4 linked regions of the Schizosaccharomyces pombe genome follow. The gene in region 1 interacts genetically with each later gene. Each region holds a gene or a part of one and is shown in the gene's direction. Other genes may lie near its edges. The genes, in order: srs2, pnk1, rad26 and rad54.

Region 1 (5,575 bases):
GTAAAAGAAATTTGTTCAGAATATCAAAAACAGTAGTTTTATACATAGTAGAAAGATTTAAAAATTGATTAATTCTCAAGAGAGACCAATTGATACATACAGAAAACAAAAAAATTATATAAATGGAAAAGGGTATGTTTCGTAAATGTTGCAATTGAGAAATAAAGCGCATTTCATTTATCGTAATTTGCCTAGATCAGAAAAAGCATTGCAAAATTAGCCTCCTGAGTATGAATCTGATGATAATAACTAACAAACACAGGTTGCATAATACATGTTCCGATAATTTTCGGCTCTCAAATACTTAAATATATGATCGTTTCGCATCAGCCGTTTCAAGTCATGAAAAAAATAATAATAAAATATCAACAATACTATGCGGTTGCGGTTGCATAGCTAACGCTGCTATCGGTGACCAATTCAACATGGCTACTTTGAGCGTACGAAATAAACTTGAATCTTTCAGAGAAATTGGCGCATTCCATAGATTTCATAATGAGTTCTATAGGGTAACGGCCGCATATGGTGTTTTGAGTGGTTTTCAAATACTCTGAAAAGTCATCACTACTTTTCGTTTCAATAATTTTCATACCAATATGATCCAAATTAGATATAGACTCATAAATTTTGGGACTAGTGGGGCCACCTCGTCTTTTGTATTTTAAGACTGCATCCTCTAATTGATTCGTATCGTTCAAATAAAGGGTATATCCAAATCTTCTTCCCCAATGACAAAAATCGGAAGATATAACAAATGAATTTGATTCATCTTTAATATACTGACTCAGAAATTTCGCTGCTGCCATCATTGTGGTTGAAGTTAAGGCACCTATCATGATAGGAACAATTTTGACTTTTCCCAAGCATCCTTGTTTCAGCAAATGAAAAGCTAAAAGAGGGAATTGCATTTCGAGGCTATGTTCACTTTCATCCACATCCAAGGTCATTGAGTCGAAGCTGTTATCGCTAGCGACGAGTTTCTGACATACTATATAAATTTCCAGTTAGCAAATAATCTGTGCTGAGAAATAGACAGTAGCAATTTAGTAAAACTACTAAGCAAAACTGTTTTCACATACAGTCTTCATCCACTTTCAAATCACCTAAAGGTGTTGAGCAGATGCTAGCTCGACTGACTAGGCATTTTCTAGTAAAGATGTGATGAGAAGGCCCAAAAACAAAAACTCTCTGAATTTTCGAAAAGTCCAATTGCTGAAATCCTTGGGATGCGACTTTCCCACTATACATGTAACCAGCATGTCTGCTCAATATTTAGCTATATACTGAATATCACATAAATTATAAGTTGTCTATACGTACGGTGAAATGACAAACCGTTTCCCAGTCTCGGGCGTTGGGTTTTTGATAAATGATTTTAATTGCTTAGTTAGTAATTCTGTATCATCCAAATACCAAGATCCTGCATGAGTTGCTTCACGAATGGCTTGTGACATGAGATAAATTGAAGAATAATATTGATACGTTCAAATTGTAATTCGGTTTGTGATGTTCGTTTGACAATGGGTATTATTTTCTGAACAACACACTGTTACATATATCTTGCTTTCTTGCCTTCATCATTTGCGTTTTGCTGCACTAACACCACTTTTGGGAGGTCGAAACACAAGACTAAGACAATCGCAAAATCAGGTTTTCACACAATAAAATCATTACTTAAGAATACTGAATTGAAAGGCTTTCATTTGTTATACGTTCACGATTTACTCAAATTTCTTGTAGTAAAAACAGGTGGATTAAAATCTTTTTCGTATCCGTGTATCAGCCCTTTCGCGCTGGTAGGTCAATCGAGAATACTAAGAAATTGCAAGTGTTGTTTTCAACTAAATAAGGGTTGATCTTCTAAATTATTTCACCTATGCTATGCTTTCGTTAAAATAATAAGTATTTGTTAATTTTCTTAGTTTGACGTGTCATCGTTTCACAATTTAATATTTATTACCCGACAACTCATCGGAAAAGACCGTGTTTGGCCAAAAATCTTTGCATTGTTTTCCTATTTCTCACTTTTTTAAAATATACATTTGAAGCTGTCGGTTGAGTGTTTTGTTCTTCTCAATTATGGAAACGAAATCATCATACTTGAAGTTTCTGAATGAAGAACAAAGGATTAGTGTTCAGAGTCCTCATAAGTATACTCAAATTTTAGCCGGTCCTGGGTCTGGAAAAACCCGTGTTCTTACCGCTCGAGTAGCCTATTTACTTCAAAAGAACCATATTGCAGCCGAAGATTTAATTATAGCCACCTTTACGAACAAAGCCGCAAATGAAATAAAGCTCAGAATTGAAGCTATTTTGGGGAATAGTGAAGCCTCTAAGCTTATTTCTGGGACGTTTCATTCTATAGCGTACAAGTATTTGGTTAAATATGGCAAGCATATAGGGCTATCCTCAAATTGGTTGATTGCTGACAGAAATGATACGTATGTCTTGTTTACACTTTTCTAACTTTTACTTCTCCACTTTCAACCATTGCTGATCTATTTAGTCAAGCTATTATGAAGCGACTTTTAGACTCTCTCAAGAAAGCTAAAAATCCGATTGCTTCTGGTATTAGAGGACAAGAATTGACTCCTCAGAATGCTCTAAATCGCATAACTAAATTAAAGTCCAACGGTCTTCTTGTTAAACCTGGAATGGATCAGTTGAGTTTGATTAATGGTCTGGAAGAACCACCTAAAGAGCTTCAAAGCCATCAATCTGTTGAATTGTATAGACTTTATCAAACTTCCTTATGGAAGAACAATTTAGCGGTACGTAACAAGCATAAAGTTGTATGTATATATCTAACTATTTAGGATTTTGATGATTTGCTTTTAAACTTTATTTTATTACTTCAAAAGCAACCAGATTGTGTGAGGAATATAAAACATATTTTAATCGATGAATTTCAAGATACTAGCAAAATCCAATATTTTCTTGTTAAGCTTTTGGCATTGCAAAATTCAGATATCACGATTGTTGGCGATCCCGATCAATCAATCTATGGATTTCGAAGTGCTGAAATTAGGAACTTAAACCAAATGTCTGAAGACTTTGAAGGTACCCAAGTGCTTCATTTGGAAAGAAATTACCGTTCAGCTAAACCTATACTTGAATTAGCACTGTCTATCATTTCACAGGACAAAAGCAGGCCTAAGAAGGGGCTCAAAAGTAATCACATCTCTTCCTTAAAGCCTCATTACCGATTGTTTGAAACTAACAATAAAGAATCTTACTGGATCGCAAGGTTCGTATGGCTTCATTGCATGAAAGTTTACTAACGATTCTTTAGAGAAATTAAACGTATAGTAGGTTCTTGTCCAGAGCTTATATTTTATAACGATATCGCAATCCTTGTAAGGTCCTCCAGCCTTACAAGAAGTTTAGAACATGCACTTTCCGAACTTGGTGTGCCCTACCGCATGGTTGGAGTTAACAAGTTTTTTGATAGAGAAGAGATTCGAGACTTAATAGCTTACTTGAGAGTCCTAGCTAACAAAGATTCGACTTCTTTAATTCGTGTCATCAATGTCCCTCCTAGAAATATTGGCAAAACAAAAATCGACCGTATTATTTTCGAAAGTGAAAGAAGAGGATTGACCTTTTGGCAAACTTTAAATGAAGTAAAGAATGAAAATATTTTACTTTCTCAAAGAAATGACAAGAGTTTTCTAAAGTCTTTAAAGTCTTTTCTTTGTTCAATCTCCAAACTTGAAAATCGTTACTTGTCTAATGGGCACTCAGCAACTCTTAGTGATTTACTTTTGGGAATACTTTCTGAGATTAAATATTACGAATACCTGGTTCGGAAAAATAAAGAAACTGTCGAAGAAAAATGGGAAAATGTAATGGAGCTTGTACAACAAAGCGATAACATATCTTGTATATTCTATGAATTAGATTACAAAATATCAACAATTGTTCTATTGCAGAATTTTTTGACTCAAATCGCTCTTGTGAATGAAGAACAGAAAGAGGGCGAATCTCAGAAGGTTACCATTTCAACCCTTCACGCAGCTAAGGGTTTAGAGTGGCCTGTTGTATTTTTACCTTGTCTTTGTGAAAATATTATCCCTCATTCTCGTTCAGACGACCTCGACGAGGAAAGAAGGCTGCTATATGTCGGTGCCACACGTGCACAGGCGCTACTGTATCTATCTTCCTTTAAAAGCGTCACTGGAATGTTTGCAGATATGCAGAACTCAGACAATGTACAGGACGTCAGTCCATTTTTAAAAGGAGAAGAAATGAAAAGATGGGTGATGGAAAGTGAAATAGTTTTTAATGAAAAGATTGCTTCTGAAATTGGAACCATATTGGGTCGGAAATCTTATGGGAAAATAACTAATTTAAGCGGTATTGGTTCAAATGCAAATCATAACGGAACTAAATTCGAAAACTTGGGCTTCCAATGCTGTCGTGTTCTAGCTGAGGCAGAATTGAAAAAGAGAGAACGAGTCAAAAGTGTCAATGACTATAATAAAGATGAAACAAATTTTAGAAAACATAATGCCAAGAGATCGAAAACCGATATACGAAGTTGGTTTGAGAAAAAACAACCAATCGATTCAGATGTAGAGATTTCTGAGCCGTCAAGGTCCGCAAGCATAATGGTTGCAAATAAAGATTTAAATGATCGAAGTTTTGAAACTGTCAATCGTATTGTATCGACAAGAGCCTCAACGACAAACGCTTCTTTCATGAGCAGCGTCAGACAAAATCTTGGTAGAGGTCCTTCTACGAAAGATCAGGTAATAAATAGAACGTTGAGGGAAGGTCACCAAGATGTTGTGCAACATACTGACCTTAATCAATCAAATACTAAGGTCGCGAGTGCCCGTCCTGCTGGTTCGAGAAAACGATTGGGTGTAAGGCTACGAGTTTCACGAATGTTATAGTCATATCATGTTGTACAAAATCACGTATTATATTTATAGACAATCTAAACACCTTGCTACGGTGTTTTCTTTAAAATACCTACATATAATGTCAGCTTGAAAATAGATACAGATAATAAACTTACATTAGAGTACTACAGTTTCGACAAATATTTCGTTGGCAGCGATCACATGTAGAAAGATATAATACGTTATCACAAAATTCGCAAACACCGGTAGATGAAGGCAGATGGTCATTGTCAGTAACAAAATTAACCTTTTCATTTAAAACGATAGAAGAGGCATCATGGGCATTACTTTTTTTGCTTGCAAACAAACTAAGAAAAGATCTCACTTAGAAGCTTAGTAAAAAATCGCTAAATTCTTCACTTACTATCCAAATGATTTTTACACTTCTTTCTTGGTAACCTACTAGGAACATGTTCAGAACGACATCTTTTCATAGCTAAATCTCGGATACTTCGAGTTTCAAAAAAATGTGACACGTTGTTCTACCCTCTTAAAGCCTTATCGAGGTGTTGTTTTGTTTTTGTGGAACGCGGACTAGATGGCTAGTGCATGGTCTAATGGACTGTACAGGAATGGTCAAATAGGCGATACTTCTTGTCAAAATATAGCACTAAATGCATTTTTGAACCCTGTATATATTCGAAAAAAATACAAATCGTCCTTATTAA
Region 2 (5,949 bases), 1.7 Mb from region 1:
ATAGTCTATATTCTATATTATAGTGTGATACTACTACTTAAAGAGGAGAGCCAGAAATGTAGAACCATTTGTGAACGCTGGGATCAACAGGAGCAGGAGCGAGCTCTTGAGCAGGAGGAATAGTGCTGGAAACGGAAGGGTCATTGGCAACAGATCCAGTGACTGAAACATTGACCAAAGAAAAGTCAGACTTGGCATCAGTCTTACCGGTAATAAGGCGCTCCCAAGCTTCATTGCACTCACGAACAACTTCTTCAGCATACTTACGGTTCTTGCATTCACCACTGAAAGCAAAGGAATTTTCAGGCTTGCCATCGGGGATCTTGTAAATGCGGAACCACTCGTTAGTAGCACGGATTAAGCCAGGCATATGACGTTCAACATCCTCAATATCATTAAGCTTAGGAGCTAAAGGGTCATTAACGTCGATGACAATAACCTTCCAGTCAGTCTCACCCTCGTCAAGAAGGGCCATAACACCCAAGACCTTAACTTGCTTGACTTGGCCGGTGTAGCCACGAGCTTCACCGATCTCACAAACATCGAGAGGATCGCTATCACCCTTGGCCTTGGTTTCAGGATGAACAACATTAGGATCCTCATAGGTTTGAGGAAAAGCACCGTAGTTCCAAATGTAACCGTGGTGAGGAAAGCAGTTACGAACGAAACGAAGCTTACCCTTCTTAGTATCTTGCTTGATAGGGTTCAAGGTAGCTTCCTTGGTAATTTCAAGCTTAGCCTGAGTCCAACGAGGGATCTCAACGACCATGTTCAAGATGGTCTTCTCAGCATTGGCATACAAGGGGATATCGTGCCAAGAAGAGATAGGAGTACCATTTTTCTCAACATAGACTTGGTAGTCCAATGTGTTCAAAGCGCCAACTTCACGGGTAGTGTATTCACTCATGACTGAAAAGTGTTTTTGGTTAAGTACAGGTTGCAATGTGCACTAATTCGCAACATCTGCTACAAAATTTGTAACTCAATGTATACAAAAAATCTTATATTAATTTATAAAATTTTCTAAGGAACAGGTTTATATTTTTAATATCGCATGTTTTTATTTTATACAGCATAAAGATGGATTTGTGAATCTTACATAGGGTAATACTGTTATAAAGTTACTTTCTTTAGCAATACTTTATTAAATGATTGATAGTAAAGGAGATTTCCACAACATGATAAAAATTTAGCACAAATAAATTATTAAAATTAAATTGTTTTACGAGAATTTATCAATTTTTTATATTAAACACAATCAAAGATATTTATTAGCCTTGTATGCAGGTTTCTTTTCTGTCGATATGGATCTTGTGGAATACTGATTTTGCGATCAGTAAATTCTTGGCTGATGCAGTAGAAGCCATAATGTTTATATAAAAATATACGAAATATTTAAATTAATTAATTATGGAAATTTTTGTTTTTAAATTCCAGATCAGCTACTAAAAAAGATAAATGACAAACGAAAAAATAATGCAAAAAAAAGCTCATACATAAAAACAAAATATTGCCGATGTCCTTCATTTTTTGTTTAAAAATAAACGGTTTAATTTTAAACGATACCAAAAAAAAAAAACTAATGTTCGTAAATAACGAGATATGCAATTGTTAATGAATAAGATGTAGGTCTCAAATATGTTATTTGTGAAATCTTTGAATGGTTGCCAAATAATAAATTAGACGAATAAATTAAAGAATTTTCTTGTTATTTATTGTCTAAATTTCTTCGAATAAGAATTATTTTCAAGTCAGTAAACATATTAAATCTTCGATTAAGGACTATATGATATAATATATCTTCTCACTAATTGTTGTATATGAGGCATTTTATGTAATTGATCAAAAACAATTGAAAATTCAATAGAGCGAAAAATAAAATTTTCATCTGTTATCCATTTTTAAGTATGTTATTGAAACCACCCATTTTCATTGCTATGCAATTATAATATAGCTAACTCAATTACCAAGTCCCATTTAGTATTTCGTCAATCGCGATGTCGTCGAAAAAAAGAAAGTCTCCCCCCCAGGAATCTTTAACTTCATATTTTGAAAAATCGTCTAAATCCTCAAAAAAGTACGGCTCTCAAAACAAAGATTCTGATTCATCCTCGACATGCCTTCAACAGAAAATAGAAATTCAATGGAGCATCACCGATTCATTATACATAGCAAAGTATGGAAAACTAAAAAAGACTAAAAAATTTATTGCATTTGATTTAGATGGAACGCTCATAAAAACTAAATCTGGTAGAGTATTTTCAAAAGATGCAGCTGACTGGACCTGGTGGCATCCAAGCGTTGTCCCAAAATTGAAGGCTTTATACCAAGACAATTATTCTCTTGTTATTTTCAGTAATCAAAACGGAATTCCAAGAAAACCTTCTGCCGGACATACCTTTCAGATGAAGATTCGTGCTATTTTTGAGTCATTAGATCTACCTATTGTATTGTATGCTGCCATCTTGAAAGATAAGTTTAGAAAACCATTGACAGGAATGTGGAATTCCTTTTTAAAAGACGTGAACCGTTCAATTGGTGAGTTGACGCTTGTAATTTATCAAGGCCTATTAACATTTTTCACCCTTTAGATTTATCTTTCATCAAATACGTAGGTGATGCTGCAGGCCGTCCGGGTGATCATAATTCAACTGATTTAAAGTTTGCTGAAAACATTGGGATTAAATTTGAGACGCCCGAGCAATTTTTCTTGGGGCATTCATTTGTGCCTCCAAACTTTGAATCATTTCATCCAAAGAATTACCTTGTAAGAAATTCTTCTTCACATCCATACCATTTTAAAAAATCCGAGCATCAAGAAATTGTTGTTTTAGTTGGGTTTCCTTCTTCTGGGAAGAGTACTTTAGCTGAATCTCAGATTGTCACTCAAGGATACGAAAGGGTAAATCAAGACATCTTAAAAACGAAATCAAAATGCATCAAGGCTGCCATAGAGGCACTTAAAAAAGAAAAATCGGTTGTCATAGGTATGTACTCGATCATTTCAACGACTTACGCGATTTCAGACAACACAAACCCTACAATAGAATCACGAAAAATGTGGATTGACATAGCCCAAGAATTTGAGATCCCTATACGCTGCATTCATCTTCAGTCATCTGAGGAACTTGCCAGACACAACAACGTTTTCCGTTACATTCACCATAACGTAAGTTACCTGTTGGAGCATTAGAAAGACTTAGAAGAATTCCTAACCAATTCTAGCAAAAACAACTTCCCGAGATAGCGTTTAATTCTTTCAAATCTCGTTTTCAAATGCCAACAGTAGAAGAAGGTTTTACAAATGTTGAAGAAGTTCCTTTTAAATGCCTTAAAGACTATGAAGATACATGGAATTATTGGTACGAATAATACGAATGATATCTAAGAAATTATTAAATTGCATTAATTTCAAAAATATATAGTTATTGATCCCACTAAAACCAAACGTTTATAAAAATTATGACTAGCACACTTAACACCGAAATTTATCTTCAAAGCTTTAGCTGATTTGAAGAAACAATCGGATGATATTTGTTTGAATTACTTGCAACCTTTTTGCGCTCACCTCCTTTACCAATGACCTCAACATTCGATTTTGATAATTGACGAACGACTTGTTCAGTACCGGAATTCCTTCTTTTCTCAGCCATTTGCTTACGTTTCTCAGCATGTTTTCTACGCACCCGCCTGCGGCGTGCTTGCTTTTGTTGGTGGTCCATTTCAGTCGATGAAATGGCGATACCTGACCGAGTAATAGTTTCACCTTCACGATTCTCATTAGACGGTTTATAAACTTCTTGAGGAGCCAATGCCATAGTGTCAGAGGCAGCAGTTGGCTGAACGTCCTCCATTGCTAAAGTGGGTGCATTAGAAACAATTTCAACAGTAGACTCAGGAGGAGGGGGAACATAATGCCAAGAAGCAAGAGAATCTAAAGTGCGGCTGACTTCCGAAAACAATGCCTTGATTTCTTCATGTTCTTTTTCTTTCTTTTTATCAGCTTCACTCTTATATGTGTCGGCGTTGCTCTTTTTAAGGAATTCTTCTTCATATTCTTCTGCTAAAGAACGCTGAGACTTATTTTCGTTTAACTCGAATAATTCGCTTGGTCGAAATTCAGTAACAGCAACTGGCGCGCGTTTAGGTACATCATCAAATGTTTTGGAAATAATTCGGTTTTTAATTAAATCTTCTAATGTCTCAGTAGTCTCTTCCGTTTGTACAGGGACAGGTTTAGCACCAGTTTCAAATTCCAAATCAACGTCTAACAGTGAATTAGAAGGTCGTCCTTTAGACGTTGCCTCCCCCATCATGGTCCAGGACTTCTTGGCAACGTTTTCAGCCTCGAGCTCACGAATTTGCTGAGTCAAACGGGCTTTATCGCGCTCATAAGAAGATAATTGATCAGCTGAAACATCGTCTTCTTCGTCACTAGCAAATAAATCTTTCTTCACTCGATCAAAGGTAGCATACTCATTGTCAGAGCTCTCATTATTTTCTTCAATAACATTTTGTTGCACATCATTTTTGAAATCCGGTTTACTTGTTCTTTTTCTTTTGGATTCGGCCTTTTTCTTTTTTAGTTCACGGCGACCGGCCGCTGTTTTTGGACCAAAAAAATCTTCGTACATAATGGAGTCAGCCTGAGGACCATTTGATTCATCTTCAGAGTCTTCCATATTCTCATCGGGATCCATTAACAAGTCAATACCGTCATCTTCATCGCCGAGGACACCCTCTTCGACTGCTTCCTCTTCTAAAGCTAAGGTTTGCTTGTTAAAATTATCAATATCAAAAAAACCATCATTAAGTCCAAATGCGTCTTTTTTCTGTTCGATTTGTTGTCCTTCTTCATTCATAATTTCAGCTTCATCTCCTGAAACATCTTCGGCAGAACTTTCGTCGACATCTTCTAGATTTTCTGGACCAGAGAACCCTAAAAATTCATCATCAGCATCATCCCGATTGTTCATTTCACTATTGTCAGAGAGTTCCTGATGACTTGTTTCATCATCCTCATCCTGGAAAGAAGTAATGCTATCTTCTTCTTCGTCTTCGTTTTCAACATCAACTTGAGGGAGATCATCTAATGCATACTTGGCAGCTAATGCTAGTTGGTTATATATTTGCCAATTATCTAATCCTTTTGTGACAATTGTTTGGATGGGACTTGTAGATGGGATTTTTATATTTGAGAAAACCTCAATAGCTTTTTCAACCAATTGCTTTGAATCCTCTTTATTCGGGAACAAAAAGAGTGTTGGCTCGGAATTTATAAGTTCAGTCATATCAAATCTTTTTTTTTTTTTAAATCTCACAAAACTTTGACTAAATATCTTGGAAGTATTCCAAGTACGAAACAAATAAATACCAATTGAGCTTAAATATTACACACCAAACCTTTTGCAAAGTACTTGCAACTCCTTTTTCCAAAATAATCAAAAAGACGTATGTTTTTTGTTTTAGATGTTTTTTCTTTTTTGTAATGTAGTAAAATTTTAGTAAGTATGGGCATCAACAATTTACTTAGTGAAGCGTTGCGTACTATATTATATAAGAAGGGTAGGGTTTGTGACTGTTTTGGACATAAAGCTAAGTTCACCTAAATCCAACACACAGTTCGCCGCAACCTCTATACTACAAAATGGGAAAACCCGCAGGATTGAACGCCGCTCGTAAGCTTCGCAATCATCGCCGTGAGGAGCGTTGGGCCGATGCTCATTACAAGAAGCGCTTATTGGGAACCGCTTACAAGTCATCACCTTTCGGTGGATCGTCTCATGCTAAGGGTATCGTTGTCGAAAAGATTGGTGTAGAAGCTAAGCAACCTAACTCTGCTATTCGTAAATGTGTTCGTGTTCAGTTGATCAAGAATGGTAAGAAAGTTACCGCTTTCGTTCCCCACGATGGTTGTCTCAACTTCGTTGATGAAAACGACGAAGTTCT
Region 3 (5,006 bases), 620 kb from region 1:
AAAGAAAATGTGACAAGATAATAATAAGGAGCCTAACAACACCTCTTCACCGTACGATCGTTTCCGAGGTCAACGTTATTTGCCTGGTTGGAAAATTCGTTTTCTGCATCAATCTTTTGTTTTTTTATTTCCCGGGCAAGGGTAAAAAATGCCTCATCTACATTGACGTTCGTCTTCGCACTAGCTTCTAAAAATTTAACGCCCAGCTCATCGGCTAACGCTTGTCCCTGTTCAAAGGAGACCTGACGCTGATCCTCACAATCACATTTATTTCCAATAAGGATTTTATAAACATTTTCACTAGCATGTTGTTCAACGTTACTAAACCAAGTTCGGACGTTATCAAATGATTTTTTATCAGTTACATCGTATAACAATAAAATACCCATTGCACCACGATAATAAGCAGTGGTAATGGTACGGAAACGTTCCTGGCCAGCAGTGTCCCAAATTTGGAGTTTGATACGTTTTCCATCTAGTTCAATCGTGCGAATCTTGAAATCAATTCCAATCGTTGTGATAAAAGAAGGGGTAAACGAGTCTTCCGAAAATCTCAGAAGAAGACATGATTTTCCCACACCTGAATCTCCTATGAGAAGTAATTTGATTAAATAATCGTAGGATTTTGTAGACATGGAGGAGTGTTGCTTTTGCCAGGTGGTAAGTGGTAGAATCTACTGGAGTCCCTTGAGATAATGCCGCAAAAATACACTTAAATTTATTAATTCAAGTAATGTTATTGTATAAATGGTACTAGTTTTATTTAAGTCTTTGTTTGTGTTTTTTTATGTTGAAAAAACATGACTTTCAACTTTTTTATGTACGTTTCCTAAGGGCAATAAACTCGAAGTTTTGATAAAGGAAGTCACTATTCTAGGGCACATACATACACTCTTGAGAAAGTAACAAAGATATTCACAAGAGAAATAATTCAGATTTCATGTCAGAGAAAAATCTCTGTCACTAAACAATTTACTAGCCATGGATTAATTTATACGATTTGAATGACTGGTAATATGACTAATATAGTACTGCATTGATCAATTTAATCAATGTTTATATGACTGTCATTGACCTAAACATACTTATAATTAACGCTTTAAGTGTTTTGGTTTAGATTTTTCCTTTTTATTTTTGATAATATAGTAAATGGATGGGGGAGAAACAATGAACTTAACGTTAATTCATATGATCATCATTTTAGGCTTTGTCATTGTTGTTCGAGTTGAAACAATAAACCGTTTAAACCAGCATAAACTATAAAATGTTCTACGATTAGGAGTTGGACTGTCTGAAAATAAATAACTTTTAAATTTTTCGAGGTTATGAGTATTCAATAGAGATTGAAATTAATAATTTCTACAATAAAACAAAATAACAAATTATTTCATTTTATCCATTGATATATTTGGTTAGACTACAATTCGATCTTACTTTTTTAATAATATTTTCATTTTTTTAATTCTTTTATGTTTATTAATTCGAATAAATGATGGAAGCCATTTGTCATAACACCTTAATTTAAGTATAAAAAATATTTTTCTCATGTTTTATTTTTAAAAGCATTCAAACATCATACACTTATTTTATTTATTTTTTATTATTGACAATTCAAATACTTGATTTTTGGCTAATAGTGATTTACAGTACTTGAGGTCTTATTGTCGATTACGTAACTCGTAAAACTTCAAGTTGGCTATTCGATTGCTAACCAAAATGCACTAATACGCCAAGTTCAACAAGTAAATTAAAGATCACAAGAAATACTCATAGCAGTTAAACGTATCGTTAAAGCATCTTATATAGCTGCGCATTTTGGAAAAGACTATCTTATTTATCATATCTGTTGGTGCTCTGCAAAATCAATTCATATTGCTACAAGGGTTCAATTATTCATACAGGAAGTTACGCGATTAAGCAGCCTTAGTGACTGCAGTCATATTCTGCTATTAGTGTTTCGTTTGTATGTGGTATTCATACTAGAAAGAGATATGGTTTTTCGGCCTTATCTTCTCTGCATAATATTGCTTACTAACTGTTAAGGTTTTCCAATTGCTGAATTACGATAATTACAGTTACCAAGGTTGCTGAAAGTATTTGAAACAATTTACGATTTATTATGAATTCAATTCTTTTTTACAGAATAAGAAAAACATTGGGCCCATATTACAATTTGGAATCACTTCAAACAACTATTGTTACGCATAAACGAGAGTGAAAGCTACAAACAAAATGATGGCTGATGAAAGTTTTGACTTGGAGAGTTTGGGTTCGGATGAAATATTTGAAGGCGTGAATTTAGATGAATTAGAGCAACAAGCTCAAACCCAGGTTCAAGCTCAAAGTTCTCAAGTAGTTGTACCGAGTGAAAAGCAAAAGCAAAATTTAAATCTTCCAAATTCATACACCAATTCTTCTCAAAAAGTCCGGGAATCTACCGTAAACTCACAAGCCTCATTATCCTCTAATGACCTTCGAACAGAACTTTTAATTAAGTCGGGAGAAAATGCAATTCTTCGTGCTAACCTTCTAAAACAATCCGAAGCTAATAATGCCGCCCTAGAATCGTTAAATAATTCTATAAAGCAAAAGCAAGATGAATACCAACGGAAATTAGAGGAGCTTAAAAAAGAAATTGAATACGCAAAAACGAAATCCCTATTTCATGAGCGTGAAGCACAGGATGCTATCGAAACTATGAAAAAAATGAAAAGAGATGTAAAGAATTCTCCGATTATGAAAAAATCCCATGAAGAAGATGGTGACAATAAATTGTTATCTTCTTCTGATCAGCTTGCTAAGAGCACAAAGCATGCTGCAAAAAACAGCCCTTCTAAAAAGAAGCGCAAAACAAGTGTTGCTACTGCTGAAGATGCTTCAACGGATAGTGTGAGTTCTAGTATTGCTATATCAGATGCAAGTTTGTCTTTGAGCCTGATGAAAGATTTACTTTCTCTACAAAAAAGAGAAGATTTGTATTTTGTAAGTATTTTTAAACTGTCGTGTTAAATTTTATTCCCTTTTCTTACTTTTCTAGTCTTCTAGAACTTTAGCATACGTATTTGGTGGTTGTATGCATTCATTAGAAACAATTGAAGGAGAGGAGGAAGGTGAATGTTTGTTTAATAACTTGAAAGCTCTAATATACAGTCCCGATCTATCTATGGATTCCTCCAATTATGTACAATCTGTCGTTCAAACATCATCGTCGATTTTAAATTATTCAATGAAAAAATTATTATATAATGCCTCCTTTGCTATAACATCTTTGTTTAATGCATTATTAATTTTGGACCCTAAATCATCCACCTTTATCTTTCAGGAAAATGTCGTTTCTTTAATAAGTGGTTTTCTTCTTAAGGAATACGAAAAAAGCAATTTTTTGGACTCAAAGTTTTACGTTTTAATAGATTTTCTTTATTTATACTTATCTATAGCACGTGAAAGTGCTGATGACTTTGCAAACATTACTAAAGCGGTTGATCCGTCGTTATTCGAATCCTGCATTCGAGTGCAAAATGCTCCTTCTTTGATTAAATGTGGTGTTTGTTTAATTATTAGTTCCACCACTCCTTCGTTTTGCGCTTCAGTTAACTTGTTAAATGCCGATGATAAATCCCAAGAATCACTCATGCAACTTTTCACAACTATGGCCCATATTTTAGTTGTTACTACTAGGGAAAGGATTAATTTTCCTGAATTGGTACGTTTACGAATTGTGCTTATAATCTTTGCATTGCTTATTTCTAACAAATTAGAATGAATGGATAACGCTTCATCGCTTTGTCATATCCTTTTTTACCGTGTTTATACAAATGTCTGGAAACATTGGTAAAGAGATTTTAAAAGTATGCAATCCCTTAATAGTATGCATCGGACTAGCCATCACTTGGTATCATCAGCAACTCCTTTCGTCAATGTACCCTCAAAATGAATGCGTAGAGATTTTAGTATCTCTTGTTCGGCTTCTGTACATTTTATCTTCCGAAGATTTATCATCAAAATTTATGTTAGCTGAAAATGCGTTACAACCTCGTTTCGTTTATGCAATAGCATGCTGCGCATTCGGCGATACTGAACAAAAAGCGTTTGGCAATTTGGGTGAGGAAATGTATTTTCTCACTACAGAATTGTTGGAAGTTTGCGTCTCTCCCGAAGAGCTGGAGCAGTTGTACACTAATTTTTAGATAATGAAACAGATGAATCTATTTCCCTAATTTTTCAAATGAAATAATGATACTTGTTTCTTCAGTGTTGTTCTTTCCCGTCCCGCACCCACATCCTCGCAAATTAAATACAAATCAATCTGTTTCCCCAAAGGAATGCGTACCACAAAAACATCCCCATTCCGTTCTTTTAGTAAAACTTACGGCTATATTTACCTGCAAATAAAATCATCTAGCAATTAACGAAAATGAATATATTAAAGTACCACTAACATAAAGAATCATCACTATGTAAATTCAATAAAATGCATTTGAAAGTTCAAATATCAAAACCGTTTTGATTCATAATAAAGAAAATCCGTCATAGAAGAGTTTCAAGAAAAACTGTAAACATTCATAACATAAAGAGAAAAATCCAATAATTCTCTTCACTAGAGTTTTTCTTCATTCTTTATCCATTGAATGCATATTTTTTTATTTTTTTTACAAAAAATATTTGCGTCTGATTTCCTTAAATGGGAGAATCCATTCCCAGGTTGATGTGAACAGCTTTTGTTTGAGTATAATTGGTAAGACCGTAAGAGCCCAATTCGCGACCGATGCCACTCTCCTTATAACCACCAAAGGGAATTTGGTGATGAAGTAAGTTATAACAATTCACCCAAACAGTACCGGCTTCAAGAGCATTGCTGACCTTGATGGCATTGGTAATATTGTTAGTGTGTACACCAGCAGCTAAACCATATGTACTGTTGTTACCGCGACGGATGGCCTCCTCGATGGTCTTGAATTTAATGACGGCAAGAACGGGTCCAAAAATTTCCTCCTTACCGACAGCCA
Region 4 (5,382 bases), 150 kb from region 1:
ATTAAAGACAGTTTATATTGGGTCATTAAGGAAAATTTTTTCCATTCAAGTGAAGACAAATTTTATATTGGTACAAGTTATTCTGTACTTGTCCTTAAACACATCTAATCAAAATAACGCTAAAAAGAAAATTTGAGAGCATGGCGGAAGAAAAAAAGGAAGAATTGTTCACAAGTATTGGCAATGCTGCACAAAATGTGTCAACAGCTGAGGATAGGGAAGGAAATGGTGTTCAAGAAGTCGAATCGTTGTGTATGGAGTGTGGAAAAAACGGTACTACTAAATTATTGTTGACGGTCATTCCATACTTCCGTGAGGTTGTTTTAATGTCGTTTGAATGTCCTCATTGTGGGTTTAAGAATGCGCAAGTTCAACACGCTGAGACAATTCAACCGGAAGGAAGCAAAATTACTTTCCATGTTGAGGATAAGGAAGATTTAAATCGGACAGTTGTAAAGAGCCAGGAGGCTATTGTCAGTATTCCTGAAATTCAGCTAGAAATCCCGGGAAGGTTAGGCCAGTTAACTACCATTGAGGGGATTCTGAGTAATGTGGTGGATGATTTAAGTAAAGAACAAGAATCTCGTAAGGAGTCTGCTCCTCAGTTATATGACCAAATAAATGCTTTCATTGAGAAAGTGAATAGTCTACGTTCTGGATCTGTACCATTTACCATCACAGTTGACGATATTACGGGCAACAGCTGGATCGAGATGAAACCTGGCCGAGATGGTGACCGATGGTCTCAGGTTAGCTACAAGCGTACTTTGGAGCAGAATACGAAGCTGGGTCTTGTGGATACTGATCAACCTGAAGACGTCAAGACACAAACAAACAACGCTTCTAATACACTTAAACATGATGCTACTGCTGTGGAAGTCGATCCCAATGAGGTACATACCTTCCATGCAACTTGTCCCTCTTGTTCACATCAATGTGACACCCACATGAAGTTGCTTGATATTCCCCATTTCAAAGAAGTTATTATCATGTCTACTGTTTGTGATCGTTGTGGATATCGTTCCAACGAAGTAAAAACTGGTGGTGAAATTCCACCCAAAGGTCGAAAAATTACTTTAAAGGTCATGGATGCCGAGGACTTATCCCGTGATATTCTCAAATCTGAAACCGCATCTCTTAAAATTCCTGAACTTGGACTTGATTTGTTCCCAGGTACTTTGGGTGGACGATTCACAACCATTGAAGGTCTTCTAGCTCAAGTTTATGATGAGTTATATGGCCGTGTGTTTTCTCAGGAGACCGATTCTATGACTCCTGAGCAAGTCGCTAACTGGCAACAATTTCTCTGCAACTTGACGGCTGCACGTGAGGGTGCTACTCAATTCACTCTTATTTTAGATGATCCTCTTTCACAAAGTTATCTGCAGAATTATTACGCTCCCGATCCAGATCCAAATATGACTATTGAGGAGTATGAACGTTCATTCCAAGTAAATGAGGAATTGGGTCTGAACGATATGAAGACAGAAAACTATGAAAAGGATGGAGGTAAGAAGTAAAGTTCGAGGTTTTTGTCAAATGTTAGGGAATGTATTTAATATAGTAATACTATGTTTTTTTGGGGGGTTTATTGACTATGAAGATATAATAGTATAGTAGATTAGCTAATTTTTATTTCCCGTAATGTTTTTGTTAGAGACTGATGCTTTATTATTTTACTTTTAGTTTAAAATAGTTACTTGATTTATCGCAAATGTTATGAGGCTAATAATTCGAAGTATTAGTAAACCATAAAATTTGCTACAAGAAATGTTAGATAGTGAAGCTAAAATTATTACCAATAACAAACTTGTAACACATATTTAGCCGATACCAGAAATAATTGATTCATATTTCACAATTTCATTATTTGTATACCATGTTTAGTGAAGGGTAACAATGGTGCGTAATTTAAAGAACGCGACACGCTATAATAGTAATAGAATTTAATTTATATATACATCTAGATATTTCTCAACACATACCATTGGTATAAACAGCACTTTCCTTTTTTTTTTGTTTGAATCCTTATCCCTCTTTTCCTACCCTTTCTTCTATTTCAGTAATCTCTTTTTTAATAATTGCTAATATATTTAATGATTCAGCAACCAACAACTGCTAAACCTAGAATTTCTACTTCTTCAAAGTTAAATACTGTTTTATCAAAAAACAAAGAGAATGTTCCTGGAAAGTTGTTTAAAAAGTTTAAATGCCCTTCTTTAGTGATTTCAGAAAAGCGAAAAGAGCTTCCTTTACGCAAAAAGCCAAGAGTTAACTACAGCGAATATGGTTCTGTTGATGGGAAGTATGATTCAGCTTACGTATCTGAAAATGTGTCTGGGTTGGCAACCATCAAAGAAGCTAATCGATTAATACTAAATCATGAACGACGAGATCCCTCAACAGTCATTAAGAAACAGTTCTCTGTGCCTAAACCTATCAAGGGTCATGAAGATATATCTAAACTGTGTGCACATCGTCCACCTCCTACACTGGGAATGAAAAGGAAGGTGGATTTTATTCCTCGTCCCCTTTACGATCCTGCTGATGAATTTGCTATCGTTTTATATGATCCCACTACTGATGCAGATGAGATCATTCCTGATATAAAAGAGGTCTTAGCGGAAAAACGTAAAAAAGATGAATTGTTAAAAAATCGAAAAGGAAAGAAAGAAATTTCTGATAGTGAGCCTGAAAGTGACCATGATTCATGTGTCTCCACTGACACAGTGGCTAGCTGTTCTACCGAGCAAAGTCTCATAACCTCTAATACCTCAAAGCATAGAAGACCAAATAAAAGTTTGAAAGATCTACTAGGAATTCAGAAAGAAAAACCTCCACCTCCTCCTGTTGCTGTTGTCATTGATCCAAAACTTGCTCGTATTCTAAGACCTCATCAAATAGAAGGTGTCAAATTCTTGTACAAGTGTGTAACTGGAAGGATTGACCGTTGTGCAAATGGATGTATTATGGCAGATGAGATGGGACTTGGTAAGACACTTCAATGTATTGCTTTGTTATGGACCCTTTTAAAACAGTCTCCTCAGGCTGGAAAACCGACAATTGAAAAGGCAATTATAACTTGTCCTTCTTCTTTAGTCAAAAATTGGGCTAATGAACTTGTCAAATGGTTAGGAAAAGATGCTATTACTCCATTCATATTGGACGGTAAAAGCTCCAAACAGGAGTTAATCATGGCTTTGCAACAATGGGCATCCGTACATGGACGACAAGTCACACGTCCAGTGCTTATTGCCAGTTATGAAACCCTTAGAAGTTATGTTGAGCATCTCAACAACGCAGAAATTGGAATGCTTCTTTGTGACGAAGGTCATCGTCTTAAGAATAGTGATTCTTTGACTTTTACGGCATTAGACAAGCTAAACGTTCAAAGGCGTGTCATCCTTTCTGGTACCCCTATTCAAAATGATCTAAGCGAATACTTTTCGTTGTTAAATTTTGCGAATCCTGGGTTGTTAGGTTCAAGGCAAGAGTTCAGAAAAAATTATGAAATTCCAATTTTAAAAGGTCGTGATGCTGACGGAACAGAAAAAGATAAGGAGAATGGTGATGCTAAGTTAGCTGAGTTAGCCAAGATTGTCAATCGGTTTATTATTCGTCGTACGAATGATATTCTCTCCAAATATTTGCCTGTTAAATACGAACATGTTGTCTTTTGCAACCTTTCCGAATTTCAGCTTTCTTTGTACAAGCATTTTATTACCTCGCCTGAAATCAATAAAATCTTAAGGGGGACCGGCAGTCAACCACTAAAAGCTATAGGTCTGCTAAAAAAAATATGTAATCATCCTGATCTATTGAATTTAACTGAGGACTTGGAAGGTTGTGAGGCTCTATTCCCTCCAGGATTTATTCCCCGTGAGCTAAGAGGGCGCGATAGAAACATTGACTCCTCTTTATCAGGTAAAATGTTAGTGTTGGAACGAATGCTCTATCAAATAAAACAAGAGACAGACGATAAAATTGTTTTAATTAGCAATTACACCTCCACGCTTGACTTGTTTGAGCAGCTTTGTAGAGCTCGCGGTTACAAGGCTCTTCGGCTAGATGGTACTATGAATGTAAATAAACGACAACGTTTAGTTGACACATTCAATGACCCGGAAAAGGATGCTTTTGTGTTTTTATTATCTTCTAAAGCAGGTGGTTGTGGTATTAACCTTATTGGCGCTAATCGTCTTATTCTGTTTGATCCCGATTGGAATCCAGCCGCCGATCAACAAGCTTTAGCTCGAGTTTGGCGTGATGGGCAAAAGAAGGACTGCTTTGTTTACCGTTTCATAGCTACTGGAACCATCGAAGAAAAGATATTCCAAAGGCAGTCTCATAAGCAATCTTTGTCTTCTTGTGTTGTGGATGAAGCTCAAGATGTCGAAAGACATTTTTCGCTTGATAACTTAAGGCAGCTGTTTCAGCTTAACGATCACACAGTCTGTGAAACTCATGAAACATATAAATGTAAACGGTGTCGTGATGGAAAACAATTCATCCGAGCCCCAGCCATGTTATACGGTGATACTAGCACATGGAATCATTTTACAAATCCCACATTAGACCGAATAGAAGATCACTTGCTAAAACGTGAGGCAGGAAAACAGCAAGTGAGTACCGTTTTCCAATACAAATCTCATTAATTTTTACGTGTTTAATTACGCTGCTCTCTTCACAAATCCTCATATTTTCATTTAGTTTGATTTGTCTTTAAACTACTCTCACCTCTCTTTATCCCTGTTTGATTTGCTATTCGATGCATAAAACAATATCATGAATTTAATTCCGGTTTTTAAAATATAGTTTTTAATTTAATTAATATCCAACCCTCAATTGTATCCTACCAAACCTCAATTACTCCTTGGTAAGCTTTGTGACAAAATTATTACGAATTTACAGGTATGCTGAAATAAATTTTTTTTTTTAGAATGTTATATTCAATTGTTAAGAGCATATAATTTGTCATATTTTTCTGAAACATTTGAAATTGCATTTGTTAGTATTCGAACCCGTGACAGTTTTAGCACTGCTTTTCTATATTAAGATTGGGATGTCTCGAATTTTTGTTATTAACCATGTAGCTACTTTTAGGCAAACTGCATACATCTTATATGCTTTTTGTCACTCTAATAGCTTATATAAACATTGCTTATGTCTAAATACTTTGGACGTTCAAACTCGTGAATGTTCCAATATAGGTAGAAGCTTACATAACCAATTATTTATTTAAGGGTTGTTTCATTTGCAATCTTATATATTACTTCTAAATATTATATATGCATATTTACTTAACAAAAATAGTAACATTCAATAGTAGTTAGACCCGGATTATAAAGCCAATCGACAAATATCAAGTTTGCTGGCAACGGA

What was found.
Region 2: mutations in srs2 (region 1) and pnk1 impair growth when combined (synthetic growth defect), as found in Schizosaccharomyces pombe (2 studies listed by BioGRID, with this or other methods).
Region 3: mutations in srs2 (region 1) and rad26 are lethal when combined (synthetic lethality), as found in Schizosaccharomyces pombe (3 studies listed by BioGRID, with this or other methods).
Region 4: mutations in srs2 (region 1) and rad54 are lethal when combined (synthetic lethality), as found in Schizosaccharomyces pombe (3 studies listed by BioGRID, with this or other methods).

What each region holds. Positions count from the first base shown.
Region 1 is NC_003424.3:3,830,696-3,836,270, forward strand, and holds srs2 (UvrD subfamily ATP-dependent DNA helicase), read left to right. Parts: upstream 1-1,583; 5' UTR 1,584-2,079; coding exon 2,080-2,441; intron 2,442-2,506; coding exon 2,507-2,771; intron 2,772-2,791; exon of another isoform or gene 2,792-2,816; coding exon 2,817-3,247; exon of another isoform or gene 3,248-3,292; coding exon 3,293-4,898; 3' UTR 4,899-4,931; coding exon of another isoform or gene 4,932-4,977; 3' UTR 4,978-5,023; downstream 5,024-5,575. Other genes in the region: SPOM_SPAC4H3.04C (uncharacterized protein), read right to left, coding at 375-988, 1,080-1,261, 1,321-1,454; SPOM_SPAC4H3.16 (uncharacterized protein), read right to left, coding at 4,932-4,977, 5,024-5,231, 5,272-5,341. UniProt on the Schizosaccharomyces pombe protein: ATP-dependent DNA helicase involved in DNA repair at least for UV-induced lesions. Also aids the recombinational repair of camptothecin-induced collapsed replication forks.
Region 2 is NC_003424.3:2,135,487-2,141,435, reverse strand, and holds pnk1 (DNA kinase/phosphatase Pnk1), read left to right. Parts: upstream 1-1,968; 5' UTR 1,969-1,997; coding exon 1,998-2,538; exon of another isoform or gene 2,539-2,561; intron 2,562-2,591; coding exon 2,592-2,987; intron 2,988-3,026; coding exon 3,027-3,169; intron 3,170-3,225; coding exon 3,226-3,372; 3' UTR 3,373-3,494; coding exon of another isoform or gene 3,495-5,291; 3' UTR 5,292-5,402; downstream 5,403-5,949. Other genes in the region: ipp1 (inorganic pyrophosphatase), read right to left, coding at 38-907; mpp10 (U3 snoRNP-associated protein Mpp1), read right to left, coding at 3,495-5,291; rps23 (40S ribosomal protein uS12), read left to right, coding at 5,648-5,949. UniProt on the Schizosaccharomyces pombe protein: Catalyzes the phosphorylation of DNA at 5'-hydroxyl termini and can dephosphorylate its 3'-phosphate termini. Has a role in the repair of breaks in single-stranded DNA.
Region 3 is NC_003424.3:4,448,883-4,453,888, forward strand, and holds rad26 (ATR checkpoint kinase regulatory subunit Rad26), read left to right. Parts: upstream 1-1,722; 5' UTR 1,723-1,963; intron 1,964-2,043; 5' UTR 2,044-2,232; coding exon 2,233-2,982; exon of another isoform or gene 2,983-3,037; coding exon 3,038-3,703; intron 3,704-3,758; coding exon 3,759-4,187; 3' UTR 4,188-4,487; downstream 4,488-5,006. Other genes in the region: GTPase Ypt2, read right to left, coding at 33-635; atd1 (aldehyde dehydrogenase), read right to left, coding at 4,678-5,006.
Region 4 is NC_003424.3:3,679,860-3,685,241, reverse strand, and holds rad54 (DNA repair protein), read left to right. Parts: upstream 1-1,976; 5' UTR 1,977-2,096; coding exon 2,097-4,655; 3' UTR 4,656-4,882; downstream 4,883-5,382. Other genes in the region: EF-1 alpha-binding zinc finger protein Zpr1, read left to right, coding at 141-1,520. UniProt on the Schizosaccharomyces pombe protein: Plays an essential role in homologous recombination (HR) which is a major pathway for repairing DNA double-strand breaks (DSBs), single-stranded DNA (ssDNA) gaps, and stalled or collapsed replication forks.